Chlamydomonas reinhardtii: one gene and its partner. The protein of the gene in region 2 interacts with the protein of the main gene of each other region in a pairwise test. Links are inferred from orthologs where the notes say so. Each region holds a gene or a part of one and is shown on either strand. Other genes may lie near its edges. The genes, in order: CHLRE_17g734400v5 and CHLRE_03g177053v5.

Region 1 (4,398 bases), on a different chromosome or scaffold from region 2:
TACAGCCCGCCCTTACCGGAGTCCCAGACCGCGACATGCCTCCATCGCTCTCCAGGCCGCTGCCGCTGTGCTGGTGCTGCGTGCTCACCCGCTGCTGCGCCTGTGCCTGTGCCTGCCGCTGCTGCTCCAGGAAGGCGTGGTGCTTCGCCAGCAGTGCGGCCTGCCTTTGCGCCAGCAGGATCCGCTCCTCCCTCCCCACAGGCGGGCCACCCTGCTGCTGCTGCGAATCTGGCTGCTGCCACGCCCCGCTGGGACTTGCCGGGACCTGCTGAGATTGCTGCTGCTGCTGTGGGTATAGCTGCTGCGGGTGCTGCTGCGGGTGTTGCCGCTGTTGTGCATGGAACTGCTGCGGATGCTGTTGTTGTTGCTGTGCGTACATCTGCTGCTGCTGCTGTCGCAATGCGTGCAAGCTGGCCGCAGGCGGCATGGGGGACTGTGGGCCCGCGGCCTGGCCTTCGTGGCCATGGCGCGAGAAGAACGCCACGGCCTGTTGCACGCGGCCGCTGGGGCTGGGCCGCATGCCAGGTGGGGCAATGCTGGGGTCTGGGCGAGCAGGCCCCCGCAGCAGCGGTTGTGGTGCGGGGCTGTGGTTGCTGTGCCCAGGGCCCCCAACACTCCGGCCAGCCGGTGCACGCGGCTCTGCAAACCGCACATAATAGTCAGTTGGTACAAGCGGTCAAGCCGGTGGCCAGCGGTCGTACGGCACAGCCACGGGGGTTGGCGGCCAGTTAGGGGACCGCACCTGGAGCTGGATTGGCCGCGTCAGCTTTGGCCACCACCACATCCGCAAGCTCCCGAAACTCTTCATCCAGGTCCGCGATTTGACTGAGGGAGGAGGGGGTGGATGCGCGGGGGCGCGAAGCTGTGAGCAGCGGGTGCCAACGCAGCACGCGTGCTGGAACGGCGCTCCACGGTCAATGGCACCCGTGCGCGCAAGCTCAGCCTACGCACGCGCACGCGCGTATATGTACTCACTACGACCATGCCTCTCGGTCGGCTGGAGCTAAGGCCGCGGTTGCCTCCTTGAGGTGTTGGACTGCACGGCGCGGGCCAAGCACAGTACTACTGGTCAGCGCACAGCGCTGACCATCCGGGGAAGTCAAACGCCGACTCACTCAGCCGCTGGATTTCGTTCAGCAACGGAAACGCCTGGAGATCGCCAGGATTGAGTCCCCGCAGGCGGAATAGCGCTCCCTGGCTTTGCTGCAAAGTCTCATGGATGGTCAATCGCCGTGAGGGCGCTCGGGCCAGCGACGGCCGCGGTGGTGTAGCCGCAGGAACATTTCGCGCTGGCGGAAGAGGCTTTGGAGGGGCAGGCTTTGGTTTTCGCTTGAACATGGTGCCACTTGCGCAGCTTCAGTCTCCCTTCAGTAAGCCAGCCAAAGTATTGGCATCTTTAATAAAAATAGTAGAAAGGTTTACATGTAATAGTTGGAAAGGTCCTTGAACGAGCTCGACTTGTGCAATGGGCGAACGCGAGTTCAGACTGCGGTCTGCGGGCCTTTGTTATGTGCGTGTGCCTGTATACAGTGATAGTTAAATGTAGATTGGTCAGGACAACCTATATTTGCAGCGCCTTAGAGACCCGCTTGACATAAACCAGAGAACCCTTGCGACCAAGGCGTTTGGCAAACGTGACGCTCCCTGGCCCGGACTGTCCGCTTTCGGAAACCTCTCTTGAGCTCTTAGTTGCGTCAGCCTCGAGCCCGGGGGCGCCAGGGCGAGCGGGCTGGGCCCCGGACTTGGCGCCGCAGCTGACAGATGGCGGACCGCAAGCCTATCGAGCTGGCAGAAGGATGGAGCTTTATGGAGGTGGGGCATTAGCATGTGCAGCAGAGGAGCTTGGGCGGGATCTGCATCTGCATTTCCCGGCTCACCTCGGTCACGTCTTGGCCCAAGCAGAAAGGCATCCAGAAGCTCATCCGCTTGCTGGAGGGAGAGCCAGAGGACCAATTTAACGCGGAGCAGTATATGCACCTGTACACGTAAGTTGTGTTGGTCTGGGCATGGTTGGGGCCGCGCCACACCCTGCCGGTGCCTTCCGCGACTGACCCACGCTTGCCCTCGCGCCTCTCGGTGCCTTGCGTCCTTCTTCGCCTTCAGGACTATCTACAACATGTGCACCCAGAAGCCGCCGCACGACTATTCGGAGCAGCTGTACAGCAAGTACAGGGACGCGTTCAACAAGTACATAAACGAGAAGGTGCGCCTTCTGGCGCACCCCGCTTGAACCCGCATTGCGCCCACGCCCATACAGCCCAGGCCACACACAGCATTGCAGCTTTGTACGTTGCCACCCGATCCCATGCCGTTTGAGCACGCGCCTTGCGCAGCCTCTTACCTGCTATGCCTGCTGTTCCATTTCTGACGCAATCCTGCTATCCCCCTCGACTCAGCCTACGTCGCCCGCATTGCGGCCCGTACGCCTGGAAGCGTGAATGCCCCACCCGCATCATTCGACCCGCAACACTCAAAGTCGTGCCAAATGTTCCTCTTTGCGCATCCGAGCTTGTAACCCCCCACCTCCACTCACCGCCCCCCGCCGTCGCAGGTGCTGCCCTCTCTGCGCGAGCACCGCGACGAGGTGCTGCTTAAGGAGCTGTACCAGCGCTGGGGCAACCACAAGCTCATGGTGCGCTGGCTGTCGCGCTTCTTCAACTACCTGGACCGGTGAGGGACAGAGGGTGCTGGTGGGTTGGCGCGGGGCCGGGATGCATGGGGTGTTTGTTTGTGCAGAGCAGTAGGTTGGACTAGTCGTGTGCGGTTGAGGACTGGGACCCGGAGCGCGTGGCGGTTATCTATATGTTTCTTGTTGAGCCACATGCGGTAGCTTGATGCCAACCGTGTTCTGTCTGTATGCGCTGCCGTTTGCCCGGGCCCCCTCACTGCCAGGTACTACGTGCTGCGCCACTCTCTGCACCCGCTCAAGGACGTGGGCCTGCTGTGCTTCAAGGGTGAGGGGGCTGCAATGGGGTTGGACAGTGATCGGCAGCGGCAGCAAGAGGCAGCAGCTGCGATGGGGTGGGAGCAGAAGAAGCAATGGGCCAGAAGTATCAGAATCCAGTGGCGCCCGGCGGACTGCCGGGACGGGACCAGCCATGCGCAGGACCCGCAATTCAACGCATCACCCACATGGTCGGCCTAGTCAGGGTTGGGTGCTGTTGCTGAGCTTTGCCAGCCAGCCTGCCGTGAAGCCGCCCAACTCATTACTTCCTCAGCGAGGCACCCCGTCCACCCTGCCCCTTGCTCTGCGTGTACCCTGTGTGCCCCCGGCTCCGCCATACAAGCACAGACCTGGTGTACGTGGAGATCAAGAAGCGCACCAAGGACGGCGTGCTGCTGCTGGTGGAGAAGGAGCGCGAGGGCGAGCTGGTGGACCGCGCGCTGGTCAAGAACATCCTGGGCATCTTTATCGAGCTGGGTGAGCAGCAGGCGCCAGAGATGACTGCGGGCGTAGTAGCCGGTGTATGTGGGATGACGATAGCGGGCCCTATGCGGGGAGGGGAGCGGCTGGCGGAGAGGGGCCATAAGTGACGTTGGAGAGGGGTTGGGGTTGGGGCGGGGGCGGGGGCGGCAGACCTCAGCCACCGCTTCTGATACTCGAACCTCACACGCACACAGGCATGAGCAACATGGACTGCTACGAGAAGGACTTTGAGGAGTACCTGCTCACCGAGACGTCCGCGTTCTATCGCCGCAAGGCCTCGCAGTGGATTGAGCAGGTGGGCGGGTGGGCGACCGGATTGGACTCATGTTTTTTGTCCAGGAACGGCGGGCGGGGCGGACGAGTTAGGGCCGGCAGGAGCCCCGGCTTAAGATTGCGATGTGGGTCAGCGCTGCGGCGGAGATGGACAAGCCCGGCAGGCATGCTTTCGCGATTGCGCCCGCCGCTGTACGTGTGCTGCATCCCGTACGGTACGCCATTTGCTGTCAACGTCGGGCATTTGAAATCCTCTCCGCCGCTCCGCGCCGCTTCCGCACTCCCTGGCGCGTCCAGGACTCGTGCCCCGACTACATGCTCAAGGCGGAGGAGTGCCTGCGCCTGGAGGAGGAGCGCGTGGACAACTACCTACACGCCACCACGCGCAACAAGCTGCTCAAGGAGGTGAGGGGGCGGCTGGGTGGGTGTGAGGGATGGGGGAATTGTAGATACTATTTCGAACCAAATGCAAAAGAGCGAGGAGGCAAGCGTGGGGGGGGTCTGACGGAGGCGTCCAGGCTGGGTGGGGCGGTCGGTGGTTTCGGATGCAGCACTTTGGGAGGCGCTGAGCCCCACGCCGCGTCACTCATGCACATTACGGAGAGCCTGGTGCTGACGAATGTGGGCGCACTTGGCGCACTCCGCCTCCCTTGCACTCATACACCTGCCTGCACACTTCTGCGCACCCACGCCCACAC
Region 2 (4,411 bases):
AGGTAGCGGCCGAAGCGGTAGCCCACAGCGCGGCTGGCGGGGTGATTGGGGTGGTGAGGGTGCCGGTGGATCGTTAGCGGCTGTGACGTGTCCCCCCGACTTCGTCTGCAGTCTTCAGGGCATCCTGTACCGCTTGTCCAACCAGCTTTGCAACCCCCCGCCCCCCGGCCCCAGGAAGCTGCCAGGCCCCATGCCACCACGTGTAGCACAACACACAAATACACGCCTCCGCGTCCTAGGTCTAATTCATCACGTACTCTCCCCCTCTCCCTCTCCCTCTCCCATCCCCATCCCCCTCATCACCTGACCCGCCTCCCTCTCCCTCCCCCTCTCCCCTCCTCACACGCCCTCCTCACCTGACCTGCCCCACAGCCTGCACGTAGGTGCGCGCGAAGTCGGCCTTGACGCCCGGCTGCTGCTGCAGCGCCGCCAGCAGCGGCCCCACCACACCCGCCAGCGCGTCGTCAGTCAGGTACACGGACAGGGCGGCTGCGGGAGGCAGGAGGCAGGGGGGGAGGAGGGGAGGAGGGGGAGGAGGGGGAGGAGGGAGGGGGAGGAGGGGGAGGAGGGGGGGAAGGGGTGGAGGAGGGGAGGGGGCGGGAGGGAGGGAAGGGGCTTACGGGCTCCTAGAACGGCTACCTCCCCTGCGCCGAGTGCCGCTCCGTTGTCAAAGCATAGGCCACGCTCTCCTCCTCGCTCTCTTGCATGGGTTCAACTTTGTTTGGGCTGGTAGCTACATTTCCCCCCTTCACCCACCCACCCCTCATCCCCTGCCCCCCGCCCATCCCCCCTTTCATCCCCTCCCCCTCCCCCTGGGGTCTACTTCACTACACTTCTCTGTACCAATCCTTGCAACCCCTCCCCCAATCGCTCACTCACCCAGCCCCTGCAGCGCCTTCTTGCGCAGCAGCAGTCGGCCCTCGCCCATCAGCGCCGCCAGCAGCGCGTCCCGCACGCGGCCCTGGATGTCCGCCGGCAGCAGCCCGCCGCCGCGACTGATGAGCTCCGCCAGGATGTCCAGCACATGGCCCGTCACGTCCGCGTCGTCCTGGGGGTGCAGGGTTTGGGGATTGGGGGGGGGGTCGGGTTGGAGGGTTTGGGGTTTTTGGGGTTGGGGGTTGGGGGTGGAGAGACGTGTGTGTGTAGAGGGGCGGTGGAAAGAGCTCTTGTGGACAGACAGAGCAGGTACAATGCGTTGATCCCTTGGGACCCCCCTGCAAAGCACACGTTTTTTGCGGCTGTCCCTCCCTTCCCCCACCCCCGTCCCCCAACCCTCCCCCCACACGCACGCCCACCTTGTGCGCCTGCAGTCCGTCCAACATGCGTCCGGCGATGATGGCGGCGGCGGAGGCGGCCAGGCCGGGCGCGGCGGAGGCGGCCAGCTCCTTCAGCAGCGCCTTGAGGCCGATGGAGGCGATCTCGCGCTGGGCGTCGCGCGCCTTGCTGGCGGCGGCGCTGGTGGCGGCGCCGGAGCCGCCCGCGCCGCCCGCCGCGCCGCCGGCCACCTGCCCAATGGCGGTGGCGGTGGTGAGGTGGTAGGGGATGGGGGTGGTGGTGTTGCTATGGGGATGGTGGTGGTGGGACTGGTGATGCAGGTGCTAGGGGGGTGGGACTGCACACCACGCCCCCGTGACGCCGCCGCCCCGCCCGCGCCCTGCCACCTCCCACCTCCCACCTCCCGCTCACCCATTGTCCCCCCTTGCTTCTCTGTACCGTCTTTGCAACCCCACCTCCACACACACCCCGTCCACCCACACACACCTTGTCGCACAGCTGCCGCACCAGGTCCTCGGCCCGCGACTCCGCCACCTTGCGAGCCAGGTGGCCCAGGCTGAGGGGGATGGAGGGGCGGGAGATGGGGGGAAGAGATGTGGAGGGGGGCGTGAGGCACGAAGCCGGTTTGTGTGTGCGTGTGCGTGTGCGCGTGGGCGGGGGGGCCGGGCTGTGGCTGTAATGCTGGACTGGTCTGGTCTGCAGGCAGCCAGGGTGAGGTGGGTGTGCATGCCGGCGTGCGGGGAGGCCGCGTGTTAAACCAGGAGCCCCCGCCCCGGCCCCGACCTCCCTTCGAACTGGCTTCGGTGCTCCGGGCCCCACACCGCTTTAGTGCCATCGCTCTGCCCCATCCCAGTCCGTGCCCCGCCCAGCTCTCTCTCTGCGTCGCACCCCTGTGCAACGCTCACACCTATCCCCCATCAGCAGCACCCGCGGCCCTGCCCCCGGTCTTGCAGCAGGCCTGACCACACTGCTTGCAGATTGCTAGCAGCCTGAGGCCACTGGGCGGAGATAACTTGGCGGAAGTCCCAGGTTTGGCATGGCACGATCCCCCGGGCCGAGGCCGCGCTCGGCCGCTCTCACGCAGCCACGCCGGCCTGCTGCTCACCAGCTCACGGCCAGGTTGGAGATATCGCCCGAGGGGTCCTCCAGCTGCGTGAGGATCACGTTGCAGAGCTTGCGCTCCTGCTCCGAGTCCACCTTGAACGTGTCCTTCTGCAGCTCATGGAGCAGGTCGGACGTCGCCATGTAGCGAAAGTCCTTGTCCTTGCTCGTTATCTTCTCCAAAATGACGACAATAGCTGTGCTCGCCATCTTTGCTGCCGCTGCGCCCTAAACGACCGACCACCGGACCGAAAGACCGAACGCCGTGCGTGAAGCTGTCACGCCGCTAGCGTAATTAGCTCAGATCGAATGTCCTGATGTAACGAAGTCCCCCGCGGGGTCACGAGCTCTGGTTTGGGCACAAGATCCCGCCCCAATGTGGTGGGTGACGTGCACTTCCCGCCAGTCGCGTTGTTATGGTTTGTGCGAGTGCAATTAAGACGGGTTTGCGGTCGAGTCTAGACGCGTGCTGCAAAACCTGCACCATGCAACCAACAATGCCGGCATTGGAGCCCCCGTCTGTTAAGAACGGGCTATTCGCTTGACGATACAGATAAACAAACGAAAATCACATCCAATGCATAACAACAGAGAGCTATGGAGCCAAGCCCGCGAATAAGGTGTGCGCTACGACGATTCGTCTGCGCACGACCCTTCAGCTCAAGCTAGTTACCGTCTCCGTGCAAAGCAATAGGTCACTGGGTATAGAAGCTTGCCCCAAAAGGCCTCGTCGTTGACGGCCGCCCCCCCCCCCCCCTCTCCCCCCACCCTCCTCCATCCCTCATGCGGCTGCTCGCAGCCCCGCTCTGACGCTGGAGCTGCTGCGGGCGCCACCCGCCGCCATTCCGCGGGTGAGATCCAACCCCCTGGGATATTGAAGGCGCCATGCAGCGCGCTACCCGGCCTGCCACTGGTGCCCCTCTTTGACCCTTACGCACCCACCCACCTAATGTGTCCCGGCCCACTCCCCGCCCTGCCCCCTGCGTCCCCGACTCCCCTCCCCTCCCTCCCCCATAACCCCCCTGCTACTGCCGGCGCTGCCCTGACCAACACAAACACACACGCCCCAGTCCGACCCGCTGCTGTTCGGTCGGGAGGTGCTGGCGGAGGCATGGCGGGCCCAGCAGCAGCCGCACCAGGGCCGGCCGCAGACAGCCTGTGCAGCGGAAACGGCTGATGCTGGGGCGGGCGGCGATGTAGCTGGGGCAGCAGCATCAGGGGCAGCATCAGGGGCAGCAGCAGCAGCAGCAGCAGCAAGGGTGGCAGCAGGAGCCGGTGTAGCAGTAGCAGCAGCATGCAGCTATGGTGACAGCGCAGGCGCCAGCGGGCGCGGCAGCGGCAGCCCCGGCGGCGGCTGCGGCAGCTGCGGCCCAGGCCCCGGCGGCTCCGGCGGCCCCGGCTGTGCCCCCAGCAGTGGCGGCTACCGGCGGCTGCCGACCGTCCACGCCGCCGACCTGAGCTATGACGACTTCGTGCGCCGCTACCTGGCCGCCAATGTGCCCGTGGTCATAAGGGTGAGGGGGGCGGGGGCGAGGGATGAGGGGAGGTGGGAGGTGTCCAAGGCCCGTGGTCGTACGGGCAAGGCGGGTGGGGACTAGGGGGCTGGGGGCTTGGGGGGGGCGGGAGCAGGTGGTGGGGGGCGGGAGCAGGTGGGGTTTTTGTGGGAGGTTTTGTCCGCAGCCTTCCAAGGCAGGTGCGATCGGGCAGAGGACGGAAGAAATCACAGGTGGAGCACCAAGGTATGCCTTAAGGCCGCACACCACACTACGCCACACCACAGGGTGTGACGGACGGCTGGAAGGCCAGTGCCGTGTTCCGGGAGCCGGCGGCGGCAGCTGGCAGTGGTGGTGGCGGCGGCGGCGGCGGCGGTGGCGAGCGGCTGGCTCTGGGGGCGCTGGAGGCGGTGGCGGGGCAGTGCACCGTGGCAGTCACCGACACCGGGTGGTGGGTGGGGTGGGGTGGGAGGGGGTTGTAAATACCAGCCCAAACTACAATGCAATAGAGCGAGGAGCGTGGGGGTGCGTGTGTGGGTGCG

Evidence for each region.
Region 1: the proteins of CHLRE_03g177053v5 (region 2) and CHLRE_17g734400v5 interact in binary tests that used the Arabidopsis thaliana proteins (3 or more experiments, as listed by UniProt). The link is inferred for Chlamydomonas reinhardtii from reciprocal best matches to the Arabidopsis thaliana genes CAND1 and CUL1.

Annotation. Positions count from the first base shown.
Region 1 is NC_057020.1:4,893,967-4,898,364, forward strand, and holds the start of CHLRE_17g734400v5 (uncharacterized protein), read left to right. Parts: upstream 1-1,535; 5' UTR 1,536-1,761; coding exon 1,762-1,812; intron 1,813-1,902; coding exon 1,903-1,985; intron 1,986-2,103; coding exon 2,104-2,203; intron 2,204-2,551; coding exon 2,552-2,670; intron 2,671-2,892; coding exon 2,893-2,954; intron 2,955-3,292; coding exon 3,293-3,421; intron 3,422-3,621; coding exon 3,622-3,722; intron 3,723-3,997; coding exon 3,998-4,105; intron 4,106-4,398. Other genes in the region: CHLRE_17g734350v5 (uncharacterized protein), read right to left, coding at 17-639, 743-825, 976-1,036, 1,116-1,338.
Region 2 is NC_057006.1:4,596,197-4,600,607, reverse strand, and holds the start of CHLRE_03g177053v5 (uncharacterized protein), read right to left. Parts: upstream 2,809-4,411; 5' UTR 2,587-2,808; coding exon 2,381-2,586; intron 1,832-2,380; coding exon 1,762-1,831; intron 1,506-1,761; coding exon 1,296-1,505; intron 1,049-1,295; coding exon 880-1,048; intron 490-879; coding exon 357-489; intron 34-356; coding exon 1-33. Other genes in the region: CHLRE_03g177007v5 (uncharacterized protein), read left to right, coding at 2,974-2,996, 3,176-3,227, 3,447-3,890, 4,157-4,320. UniProt on the Arabidopsis thaliana protein: Key assembly factor of SCF (SKP1-CUL1-F-box protein) E3 ubiquitin ligase complexes that promotes the exchange of the substrate-recognition F-box subunit in SCF complexes, thereby playing a key role in the cellular repertoire of SCF complexes.